Linked DNA regions of Sus scrofa. The protein of the gene in region 3 interacts with the protein of the main gene of each other region in a biochemical or structural test. Links are inferred from orthologs where the notes say so. Each region holds a gene or a part of one and is shown on either strand. Other genes may lie near its edges.

Region 1 (4,332 bases), about 23 Mb from region 3:
GAAAATACTCCCAGCCTCCAATCCCAGGCAGACAGTTAAGCCCATTCGTATCCAAGAACACCCTCTCTGGTTCTTTACAAGGGTTTACGAATACCACCACCCCATTCCTTCAGGACCAGCCCACCGCGCCCTCCAACCCCAGACCCTCCCCACCCGCCCCTCCATGTAGCCACTAACCTCTTTGGTTAAGTCTCCACTGACTGGAGGGGCTACAGCTCCCAAATCCTCCAAATCTTCACTGAATCCCTGCTCCGTTTCGCTCTCTCGCACCCCGTTGTCTGGGCCTGTCACATCTTGGAGACCACTGGAACTCTCGAGGGCGAGGCCTGAGCTGGGCTGGCTGCCAGAGACCGACCCCTCCGGATCCCGGTGGACCAGCCAGGCGTTAACCTCAGTGGTGGGCACCTGGAACCTGTCCAGGGCCCTCACCTGACTGAGGAGCCGCCGGGCAGTGAAGTAATTGTCCAGGTCTATGCTCTTGGGGTGGATACCATAGCCATCCAAGGTATTCCTCAGGTTGTGGAACTGGGTCTGAGTATAGGCAGAACTGGGCCCCAGGATGATCTCCCGGAGCGGGGGGAGCTGTGAGGTCAGGTAAGTATCCACGTCCACCCGCACCCCAATCAAACTGAGCAGAATGGTGAACTGGAGGAGTCCTTCCGTTAAGTATTTCTTCAGAGAAAGCATTGCTGAAGGACCAGAATGTTTATGCTTTCTGGTTTTTAAATCTTCCAAAAGACAAATCAAGGCCACTGCTCTGCTGCTCCAGCCAGCAAGTTACCCCCCTCAGGGCCAAACCCCGGACCCCGCCCCTGGGGAACACAGGGGCCGAGCTCCCTGATGGCCTCAGAGGAAAGCACAGCCCTTGGAGCCAAGGCCACTCTCCAGACCACATTCACTTTTCCCTTCGTGACACCACACTGCTGAAAGTACAACTGTTCCTAACCCAGTCCAGGCCCTCCGGGCCCACGTGACTTCCTGTCTCCACAGTCCACATACAGTCACTTCCTCACTCACATTAGTTGTCCTTTGTAGATTCCACTGCAGGCTGTTCTCAGGAACAGCTGATGGATTTTTTTTTTTTTTTTTTTCCTTCTCCCTCCTAAGGTTTATTTTCTTTGGCTGGAGCTACAGGCCTTTTGTCTTGGGTCAGAGTGTCCCGCCTCCTCCACACTTACCAGGGGGGTTTCCAGAGAAACCTGAAATGGGAACCACAAAAGCAACAGGATAAGAGTCCATCATTTTTCATCCACGATCAAGGCAGAAAGCAGAAAACATATTAAAAGACCACTCTTATTTTTTACTCAACAATAACTCAGTTATACGCTCGTAAAAACAAAAAAACCCAAAAATTTGTTATAGACAAGAATAACTACGAAAGGAAGATTCTGCTCACCAGGGATCTCAGTATCTGGCTATTAACTGTGCAGGACTCTAAAGTTCATTTCAGATAAGCAGATAATGCCCAGGGCATCCTAACTATTTTACATGTTGTCCAATTTATCAACCCTCCCCCACCCCAAGTATACACTACCCAGATTCTATTTTTAGGTTGAGAAGTCCATTTCCTATCTTAAAAGAAAGTTTGCTTGCCATCTCTCAGGAGAGAGCCTCCTACAAGTCCTCTCCCTTCAAGTTCTAAAGGGGAGGGAGAGATTATTATTACTGGCTGAGAGTGTACAAGGATGAGAGGACAACACATTACAGAAAAAATGCTTTTTCTGTTTTCCCGATTTTGAAACCTGACTTCCCTTTCCTATCATTCTTACATTAAAGGAAAAAAAAAAAGGTGGGGGGTACTGAAGGGAGGGGGGTGGGGGCTGAGGCAGGATTATTTGGCCCAGAATTTGAATAGGCAGGTTTTATTTTCATTCATGTGACCTTCTGAGCCAAAGCAGAAGGATATGGCCAAGTCCTCAACCCAGATAGCCAAGTGGAGAGAGAGCAAAGCTGCCTTTCAGTTTCTAGTCTCTACTTCGGAGCTTCCATTAACCTCACAAACCAACACATAACTCTCTCTTCTTCACTGTTGTGACCCAATCCTAAAGAGAAAAAGGGATCTATACATACACACAGACACACACACACACACCCTTATCTGGTTAGAGTAAACATAATTACGATCTAGAATTCCTGCTTACACTACCCTCCAGTTCTCACGCGATTTATTACTAAAACCTCCCAAGAGCCAATTAAGTTCGGGCAAATGGACGAGGTCCCTTAAAGATCGAGGAAGGCCAGGTCTGAGCCCGGTCCCACCCTGCCCCGGATACCCGAGTCCGGCTGGGACCAAGTCGCCATGCCGCTCCTGGCGCCTCGGCTTCTAGCCTTCTGGGGCAGCAGCGAACAAGTGCTACTTTCCTGGCCTTGACCCACCCGGATGGCCAAACCCCACCCCGCCCTCCGCCCCTATGGCCCCACCCCGCTCCCAAGCCCGGGCCTAATACCACGCCTTCTCAGGCCCTCAGCCCTCCCCAGTCCAACCCACCCCGAAGCCGGCTTTCTCCACAGCCTCTGGGCCCCTCCCTGCCAGGTCCAAGGCCCAGCCCCGAGCGAACCCCGCTCGCGGCCGCCCGCTCCCGCCTCCTGCCCCTCAGCTCCACCCCGCCGCCCTTCACCCCATAAGCCTTGGCCCCGCGGCACTGCGCCCCTCCCGTGAGGGAAAAAAATGTGCTTGATACCGCTGCTGAGCTCGGCGTCCGCCGCTGCTGTCCCAGCAGGCCCTCAGCCCGAGTCCAGGCCTTGCCGCCGCCACCGCCGGCCGGCCTAGAGCTCGCCAGCCTCCGTTTCCCTCCCCGCCCCCTCCTCCCACCTCACTCGGAAGCCCGCCCCCCGCGCCCTCCCCAGGAACACGTTTCTTCCAATCAACGAGCCGAGATAGTGGCCGTCGCCGGATGTCGCTTTGATTGACAGCAGGGAAAGCCCAATGGCTAAGTGTACCTCCTCCTCCCTTTACCGATTTCCCAAGACTGACAAGCTCCGCAGTCCAATGGGCATGTAGGCCCGCCCCGCGGCGCAGGCCCACCAATAAGTGGGGCTAAGGTCCTATCGCTCGGCGTTCTAGACTCCCTCCGCCGTGCGCCAGCCGCGGGAATTACAGGCTGGGCTCGGAGCAAAGCGAGGAGGCCGACCTCTTCTAGTGCGTTCTTTGAGCTGGAGGATAAAGGCTTCTGGCCGGGTGTGGGAGGTGGTATCGCCGTCGGAGCGCGGAATCCCCCCCATGAGGGTTCCCACGATGACTTGCAAAAGTCCAGTGAGACCTGAGAGGCCGAGGTGGGGGCACAGCGTGTGTATTTGGCGGGTTTGACGACGCTCGTGCCACCATCTTAGCTGCTGGCAGCGGAAACCACTCTCTCAGCTTCCGCTCCGTGGAAGCTTGGCACGGGGTTCCTTGCCAGTCCGGGATCTTTGCACCACATGTCAGACAAGGGTCAAACTGTGGCGGCAGCTCGGCGATGTTGCCACGATGGTGTGTGGCATAATTAGTGATTTTTTTGTCATGATTACAACACCCCAAAGAGCTCCGCCCCTGTATGGTCTCTGCTCAACCTCCCACTTACGTTACTCCTGCTTTTCCATAACTTTCCTCAGTTTCTAGTGTTTTCTAATCTCGCCTAGCCCACGTATTCGTGATTTTCAAATATTAGTTTACCCCCAGCAACACTTGCGGAAGTTGTTAAACTTGCACATTTGGAGGCACCATGCCCGAGGTTCTGATTCACTTACGACCCAATAACCTCGGATGGGTGCGGAGACCACTTTTAACCAGTGGCCGAGTTGGAGTATGTAGTGAGTTGTTCCTAGCTGTGGGACAAAGAGGCATTGACTCAAATTCTTGACTCCTTGGAAGATCCCACTAATCTAGTGGGCGAGTCACTGGTCCTTGTACAATCAAGGACAAGGCTAACTGGTAAGTCATTCGGTGAGAACATTGAGTCCATCACGTGTTTGGAGAGTTAGGCGGCTTAATTCGAGGTGGTTCCCAGATTATAAAGCACTTTCGCCATATGGAAGTACACAGTAGCATCCATTCATTGAATCTTTAAAAAACGTAAACGCTGGCTACCTGTTTCAAAGTCAGATTCAGAGAGCACATTTTATTTCTTCGTCTTACTATTTCTCTCCCAGAAATTGCTAGAATACAAACGCCACAAGGACTAGAATCTTGTGCACTGACTGTGGAGTCTTCAAAACCTAGAAAAGTGCCTGCTACTTAGACACTCAATAAATGCTTGCTTAATAATCGAAGGGGAACAAAAACAGGCAGGCCTGTGGTTAAAGGCACCCATCAACTTGGAGGGTGTGGCTGAAGATGTGGCATGTTATCAAGGA
Region 2 (2,462 bases), on a different chromosome or scaffold from region 3:
GTGGGCATAGAGCCAGGTCTGAGGCTAAGAGGTACCTCAGGGAGCCTGCACTAGTTCTGCCCTCTCCCCTTCGGTCTCTCTGTCCCTGCCCAGGTGCAGAGAGGAGGAGAGAACATGCTAGAAACAGGGCCCCCAACCCACATCGGGGAGCCACCTTGCTCCAGCCCGCCTGGCGACAAAGGCATCATTGTTAAACCAACAGACACCCCTTTGTCCAACTAGCAGAAGGAGAGGACCCCGGCATAGCCTGCCCCCCCCCTTCCCGAGGCCCCTGAACTACTACTGCTCTGCTACCTGAGGGAAAGGGGCCCAGCTGCTGAGGGGGGAATGAAGGAGGAAGATGGGCAGGATGGGAGGAGTCAGCATAGAAGGTGAGGAAGGAAAGACGGGGCCTGAGGTGGGGTAGAGAGACGTGAGCAGAGTGGCTGCTGAGAGAGCTTACACCCCCAATCAGATCCTTCCTTCCCCACCACTCCTATCTCCTGCTCATCCACACCCCCTCCCCCTCAAGGCTCCCCCGTCTGCCATCCAGATCGCCCTCCAGCTCCAGCCCTTCTCTTTACAGCGCCTAAAGCATTGCCATCTTGAGCCCCTGGGCTCTGCTTGCTCCAGCCCCCTGCCTCAGACCCAGCCAGACTCCCCGTTTCTCCCTTTTCCCTCCCCCTACCGCCCCTCCCACCCCCAACTCTCCCACCCCCACTCACCTGCAGCTCAGTGATGGACATGATCTCTTGCCAAGTCAGTTCCATCTCACCCAGCTCCGGAGTGGGCAACTGTGTCACCCTGTTCCTGCTCTGCTGGGGAGGACACGGGGGCATCCTACTGGGCCAGGGCCTGGTCCAAGGTCCTGAAAGCCCAAATGGTCCCAGCAGTCTGTGTCAAAGGAGAAACAGGGGTTAGGAAGTCCCCTGCCATGGGTCAGCAGTGTTGTCCTCCTCCATGGAGAGGCTCCTCCAGCCAGGGAAGGAGACACCTCACTGCCCCCCATTCGTGCTGGACTCATCAACCAACTCCCTAAGCAAGAAAGCCCTTTTCTGCCGTGTTATCCCTACCTCACCTGCTCTGGCTGTAGGCAGTTCCTTTGGGAGCACAGTAGGTGTTTATCTTCTTTTCACAAGATGCCTTCTCTTTCCCCTATTTCTTAGTCCCCAAAACCGTATCACTGGCCGGGACAGAAGTCACATCATTTAAGGGTGTTTTTCCGCCTGTTTCCTGCTGCAACATCAGGGGATCACTTCTGCTGTCCTCCTCTGCCTTCAGTTTTAAGATCTCAGTCTTTTCTTTCCAAGATGAGAGCAAGCGCTTGGGGATGCCCAAGGAGCGCCTTGTGGGAAGAGCCAGCAGACAGCCCCGCCCCTTCTCTGAGATACAGCCCAGGCCTGGTGGCTGATAGCAGCCCTGCCCTCTCCTCCTATCCTGGCCCTGGGCTCCCCTGCCTGGGCCAGATAAGAGGTTTATCAGCTGCAGGCAGCAGAAGAGGAATGGTCTCTGGAGACACTGGACCTCTGCCCTGTGTCCTGCAGGGTCATCTTGGCTATTCCCCACCCCAGACAACCAGGGGTCTTTCCTCTCCGAAGGTCATGCAACAACCATAGCAGAGACTTATTCAGCATCTGTCAAGAACTGCGCTGGTGTTTCAGAAGCGTTCGCTTATGAGATTGATTTTCACGTACATCCTACAAGATCCATTGAGAAATTGAGACTCAAGCTCATAAATAGCAGGGTCAGGTCTGTCTGGAACCCACCCTCGCTCACTGTACGAGTCTACGCTGCCTTCCAGGCCCCTTCCCAATCCCACTCCCCTGTCTCCACATGCCCAGACTCTCCTGGCGGTTGCCACTGGTCAGCCCTTTCTGTGGAATCTCAGTCTGTCTTCTCTTCCACAGAATCACTCTTTAGAGGCTTGAATACACACTTCCCTCTGTCCCCTTGTCTTTGGATCTGGGTTCTAGCTGCAGCTCTGCCACAAAGCAATGGCGCGATGTTGGGCAAGTCATCACATTTCTCTGAGCCTCTGTTTCCTCATTTGTAAAACCAGGGAGTTAGACAAGTTGAACTTGGAGGTCCCTGTCTGCTCGGGCAGCTGAATGTTCTCAGCAACCCCTCACACTTGTCTTCATCTTCTCCCTTCTGCCAGCCTCTTTCCTCATCCAACCGTCTCACCATGCATCTGTTCACCCCGCCTTCAGCAAGAGATTCCAAGTAAATTTGGCAAGGGCCTCCTGATCTCTTAGGGCCTGACCCTGCACCCTACCTTGGCCACAGAAGTAAAGGCAGGCAGGCAGGTTGCGGTGGGGACGGATTTAGAGAAAGATAGAGCCTAGGATGGGATGACCTCAGTCACCACAAGGATGGCCTGTCACAGCTATTCAGTATGGAATCCACTGTTTGATTCAGCCCGAAATTAGTGTGAAGTGCAAACGACCCTTGCGAAGGAGGATCTCCCCTGGCCCCTGCCCCCA
Region 3 (4,095 bases):
CTCCTGCAGAAGCCACCAGCCCTCCAGGCAACGTGGGGCGGCAGGGTGGGCTGGGAGGTGGAGGCACACGCTCACCCAGGGTAGAGACAGCTCCTCACCCGGCCCTGAGCCAGGAGGCTGCAGACGGGAGGCCAGAGGCCCCAGCCCCGCTGTCCTACCAGGGGTAGAGGAGCTGGAGGCCAGAGGTCCCCACGCCTACGCTGGGAGCCAGGCCCGCAAGACACAGTCAGAGGGGCACCCCCAGCCTCCGGCCCCGGTACCAGGTCACCGCACTGGCCCTACGACTGTCAGCCCGAAGGAAAAGCCTCGGCACCAGCTTTTCTCATCCACCCCCTTCCCTCCAGACTTGAATGCTGAGCCCACGGTGACTTCCTGAAGAATCACCCAGAAAAGTGCCGAGCGTGGCGGCTGGGAGCCGAAAAGTGCCTCCTCGACAGATTTCCCGGCGCAGAAGCCCTGAACTCAGCACAAGTGCAGCCAATCGCCTCCTAATCAAAGGTGTGCGCGCTCGGCTGGGGGAGGGGGTCTCGGCGAGGCCTGCCTTCCGGCCTCCTGGCCTGGTCTCCGCTACCTGGGGCCTCACAGTTCCAGGACGAGACACCCTGTGGGCCTGGGTTGGGACCGAGGTCTCAGGGCACCTCTAGAAGCCGGAGGAAGGGGATCCCCGAGGCCGTTTCAAGGAGACGCTGCCTCCCTGCAGCCCTCCTCCTGCCTCTGCTCCCCCAGAGGCTGAGCCCACTTCGGGGAGGAGGCAGGGGTGGTCCCCAGAGTGCATACCCACCAAGGTACCCAGGCCTAGCCACTCAAGCTGAGAGCCGGCCAGGAAGGAGAGAGGGCCCCCTCCCCCTCCCCTGGGCTCAAACTCCAGGGCATGGACACTGGGCAGGAGGCCAGCTCGCTCCTGCTTCTCCTGTCCTACAAACCGCAGTGGCCAAACCTCCCCGGCAGGCGTGGCCCCGGTCATCCTGGCACCCCCCCCAGCCCGCTACACTCACCCTGCCCTTCGGACCCATTTCCCCAGAAGCCCTCTGAAAAGTGTCTCAAACTTCATTCCCACCAAACGCAAGTAGCTGAGAAGATTTAAAGAAATACCACTCTAGGAATCTGCATTTTCATAAAACTCCAGCCAAAAGATCAGCTGGTGGGAGTTCCCTGGTGGTCTGGTGCTTAGCACTCGGCACTTTTACTGCTGCGGCCTGGGTTCCATCCCTTTTCTGGGAATTGAGATCCCACTTCAAGCCACTGCATGCTGTGGCCAGGAAAAAAAAAAAAAAAAAAAAGATCAGCTGGCATCTGTATGCCCAGGGCTGGGGTGAAGGGGAGCGGAAGTAATGCCTGAGGACAAAGCACAAGGTCAGCCTTACCTAGCCTTGAACCCCTGGGCAAAAGGATCAGCTCTGGTCTAGAGGAAAGACCCCCACTCCCACCCCCGCCCCTGGAGACCAGGAACCACCCATTCACTTAGGAAGGTGGCTCAGGCCACACGACCCTCAGGCTGGAGTTCCCTCCCCAGGAGTCCCCACCACCACCCCATCAGGACCACCTTCTTTGTTAAGCTGCACAACCCTGAGCCCAACCAGAACAATCCGGGGTGACTGAGATTCTTCAGCCCATGCCGTCCACCCCAGTCCAGTGCCCTGAAGGTGGGTGCCCTCCAAGCTACCGCCACCCACAGCCTCGAGCCAGACCCCACGGCGGGCTGTGAAGAGAGGCAGGGCCTGCTCACCAGACACCAACTCCCCTGAAGTCTAAGTCCTGCTGCTTCCTCTCATTGGCAATTTCCTGGTAGAGCTGCACCTACATGCCCCCTGCCCTGTCCACTGTTACCCAGAAACCGGGTACAGGCACCCCTCTTTCTCCCACTGTCTCCCCATCTTCCCCGCCCAGAGGCTGCCCAGCCTGGCCAACCAGACCAGTCATAAGGAAAGCCGGCTTCCCAGCCCGCAAGCACAGCCCCCCTAAGCTCCTCCCTCTTCTCACTCAGAGAACTATTTCCCAGTTTGGGGAACTGTCCCAGACGCGGGTCAGGGACCAGCAGCCTGAGAAAAGCCTGCCGGGGAGGGGATGGACGGACCAGGGTCTTCACCCTCTACCCCAGAATAATAAGAATAGCGGTCCCTCCATTTACTCACCCCCCAAACCTTCAACACGCACATCAGCCCGAACTTAAGCAGGCACCCCAGCCTGGGGCCTAGCCCCTTCCCACTCCCTGGTTTAGCTCTCACCTCTCGCTTCCAGCCTCTCGAGCCCCTCGCTCAAATCCCCCCAGGCATCAGGACAAGCATCGAGTGACCTCATGCTGATGACTCAGCAAGTCTCCCTCTGGGCTCTGGCACGAGTGTGACAGAGCGAAGTCGGCGCGGGGAGGGTCTTCCTAGCCACCCCCCACGTGCCGCCCCCTTCCCCCCGGCCTCCAAGGACCCCCGCGTCCGAGAGGCGTTAACACAGACACCTGATGAATCAGCAGCTCAGGCTGGGACGGCCAGGCTCTTCCGCGGAGCCCTGGGCTCCCCGATCGACCCCACCCTTTCCTCCCGCCACCCCGGCCGCCCCTCCCTCCAGGACGCCCCGGCCCAGCAAGCCAGCCCGCGCAAGCCCCGCCCCGCCCCTGTGGGCACCCCCGCGCCCACCCGAGCACCCCAGGCGCAAGGGCAGGAAGCCGCTTCTGACTAGTGGGGAAATCGAGGCACGGGCCGCCAGCAGGGCGCGGGGCAGAGCCGAAGCTCGGAGCGTCCGGCCCGCGCCGCCCCGGACGCCCGAAGGAGCCGAGGCCCCGCGGAAGCCCGCCCTCGGCCCGGAGCCCCCAGCTGCCCCGCGCCCTGCCCCGGCCCGGCCGCCGCCGCACTCACCCACCACACTGCGGGCCCGGCGGGCCGAGGCTGGGGCGGGGCGGGGCGGGCACTCCGAGGCCGCGCGGGAGTGGGCCGCGCGGGGGCTCCGGGCCCGGGGTAGGGGCTCGCCGCCTGCGCGGGCCGGTCCGAGCGCGCTTGGAAGGCCGGGCCGGACCAGGCTCGGGGCTCGGGATCCGCCGCCGCCGCCGCCGCCGCCGGCCGCCGCCGCCGCCGCCGCCGCCCGCCGCCGCTCCTCAGACGTCACATGATGTTTGGTCACGTGGGCTCCATTCATGAAGCGGCGACGCGACCGGCTGGGGCTTAAAGGGGAAGGCGCGGCGGCGGCGACGGCGGCGGCGGGCGGCAGAGCGCGCCGGCACTGCGCCTGCGCGCCGGGCGCCGTCGCCCTGGCAACGCGCGCCGCGCCCGATGGGTGAGGTCTCGCGGGACTGGCCCGGGCGCGCGCTCCCTGTCCGGCCACGCCCCCTTTGAGGCGGGGCCTCGTGGTCCTCTGAAGCTCTCCTGAGGCTTGTGCGCAGACGTTGCAAAGGCCACGTGTCCGGTTTTCTGTTGCGGATCCGAGGTCCGTACGCATTATGGAGAAGGTCCTCATGGTGTTTCTGTTACTCCCCGGCAGGCTCTGCATGCCTTGCCTCCGTAATTGCGGAGCGGGCCTCAGCCTTGCCAGGAACAGCTGTCTGGTTCACAGGAGACCCACAGGCTCAGGGAGGCGAAGGGTTTGTCCGAAGCTCAAGGCCGCCTCCAAGGCTTCTGAGTAGTGTGGTCTGTCTTCACCCAGCATCCCGAGACCTCACATGAGGGACCGGGCTCAGGCGGCTCCTAGAACCCGTCTGGCTCAGAGTGGGTGCGGTGAATGTGGGCATCAGTAAGCATCTGTTGAATTCATAGTTGATGTAGGGGGTGCGCCTTTCCTTTCTGTTTCACCAGCGTCTGCCCCGAGCTTAGGTCCCCGTCCATGGACCCATGGACCCTTACAGAAAGTTTCTACACTTTCTGTAAGGACTTCTCACTTCTGTTCAAAATCCCCAGAGAAAGAGGTCTGGAAAGGAAGAAGGGAAACTGAAGGGACCCAATTCTACTTCCAGATTCTGGACGTCTCTTCTCAGGTGTGAGGTCAGGAAGGGTCGCGCCCCCCCCCACCAGACAGGTCAGTGAGATCAGATGAGCTGAAAGAGGGAGGAGCCAGGGACGAGGGCAGGATCCTTATGGGAATTCAGTGCCACTGAAGGAACGACAAAGGCCA

The links.
Region 1: the proteins of MAFG (region 3) and NFE2L1 form a complex in vitro, tested with the Homo sapiens proteins (2 studies listed by BioGRID and IntAct, with this or other methods). The link is inferred for Sus scrofa from reciprocal best matches to the Homo sapiens genes MAFG and NFE2L1.
Region 2: the proteins of MAFG (region 3) and NFE2 form a complex in vitro, tested with the Homo sapiens proteins (2 studies listed by BioGRID and IntAct, with this or other methods). The link is inferred for Sus scrofa from reciprocal best matches to the Homo sapiens genes MAFG and NFE2.

What each region holds. Positions count from the first base shown.
Region 1 is NC_010454.4:24,301,860-24,306,191, reverse strand, and holds the start of NFE2L1 (nuclear factor erythroid 2-related factor 1), read right to left. Parts: upstream 2,812-4,332; 5' UTR 2,682-2,811; intron 2,415-2,681; exon of another isoform or gene 2,274-2,414; intron 2,268-2,273; exon of another isoform or gene 2,142-2,267; intron 1,200-2,141; 5' UTR 688-1,199; coding exon 178-687; intron 1-177.
Region 2 is NC_010447.5:19,496,464-19,498,925, forward strand, and holds part of NFE2 (transcription factor NF-E2 45 kDa subunit), read right to left. Parts: intron 1,285-2,462; exon of another isoform or gene 1,058-1,284; intron 874-1,057; 5' UTR 819-873; coding exon 705-818; intron 1-704. UniProt on the Homo sapiens protein: Component of the NF-E2 complex essential for regulating erythroid and megakaryocytic maturation and differentiation. Binds to the hypersensitive site 2 (HS2) of the beta-globin control region (LCR).
Region 3 is NC_010454.4:1,067,903-1,071,997, reverse strand, and holds the start of MAFG (transcription factor MafG), read right to left. Parts: upstream 2,925-4,095; 5' UTR 2,850-2,924; intron 2,506-2,849; exon of another isoform or gene 2,453-2,505; intron 2,403-2,452; exon of another isoform or gene 1-2,402. UniProt on the Homo sapiens protein: Since they lack a putative transactivation domain, the small Mafs behave as transcriptional repressors when they dimerize among themselves.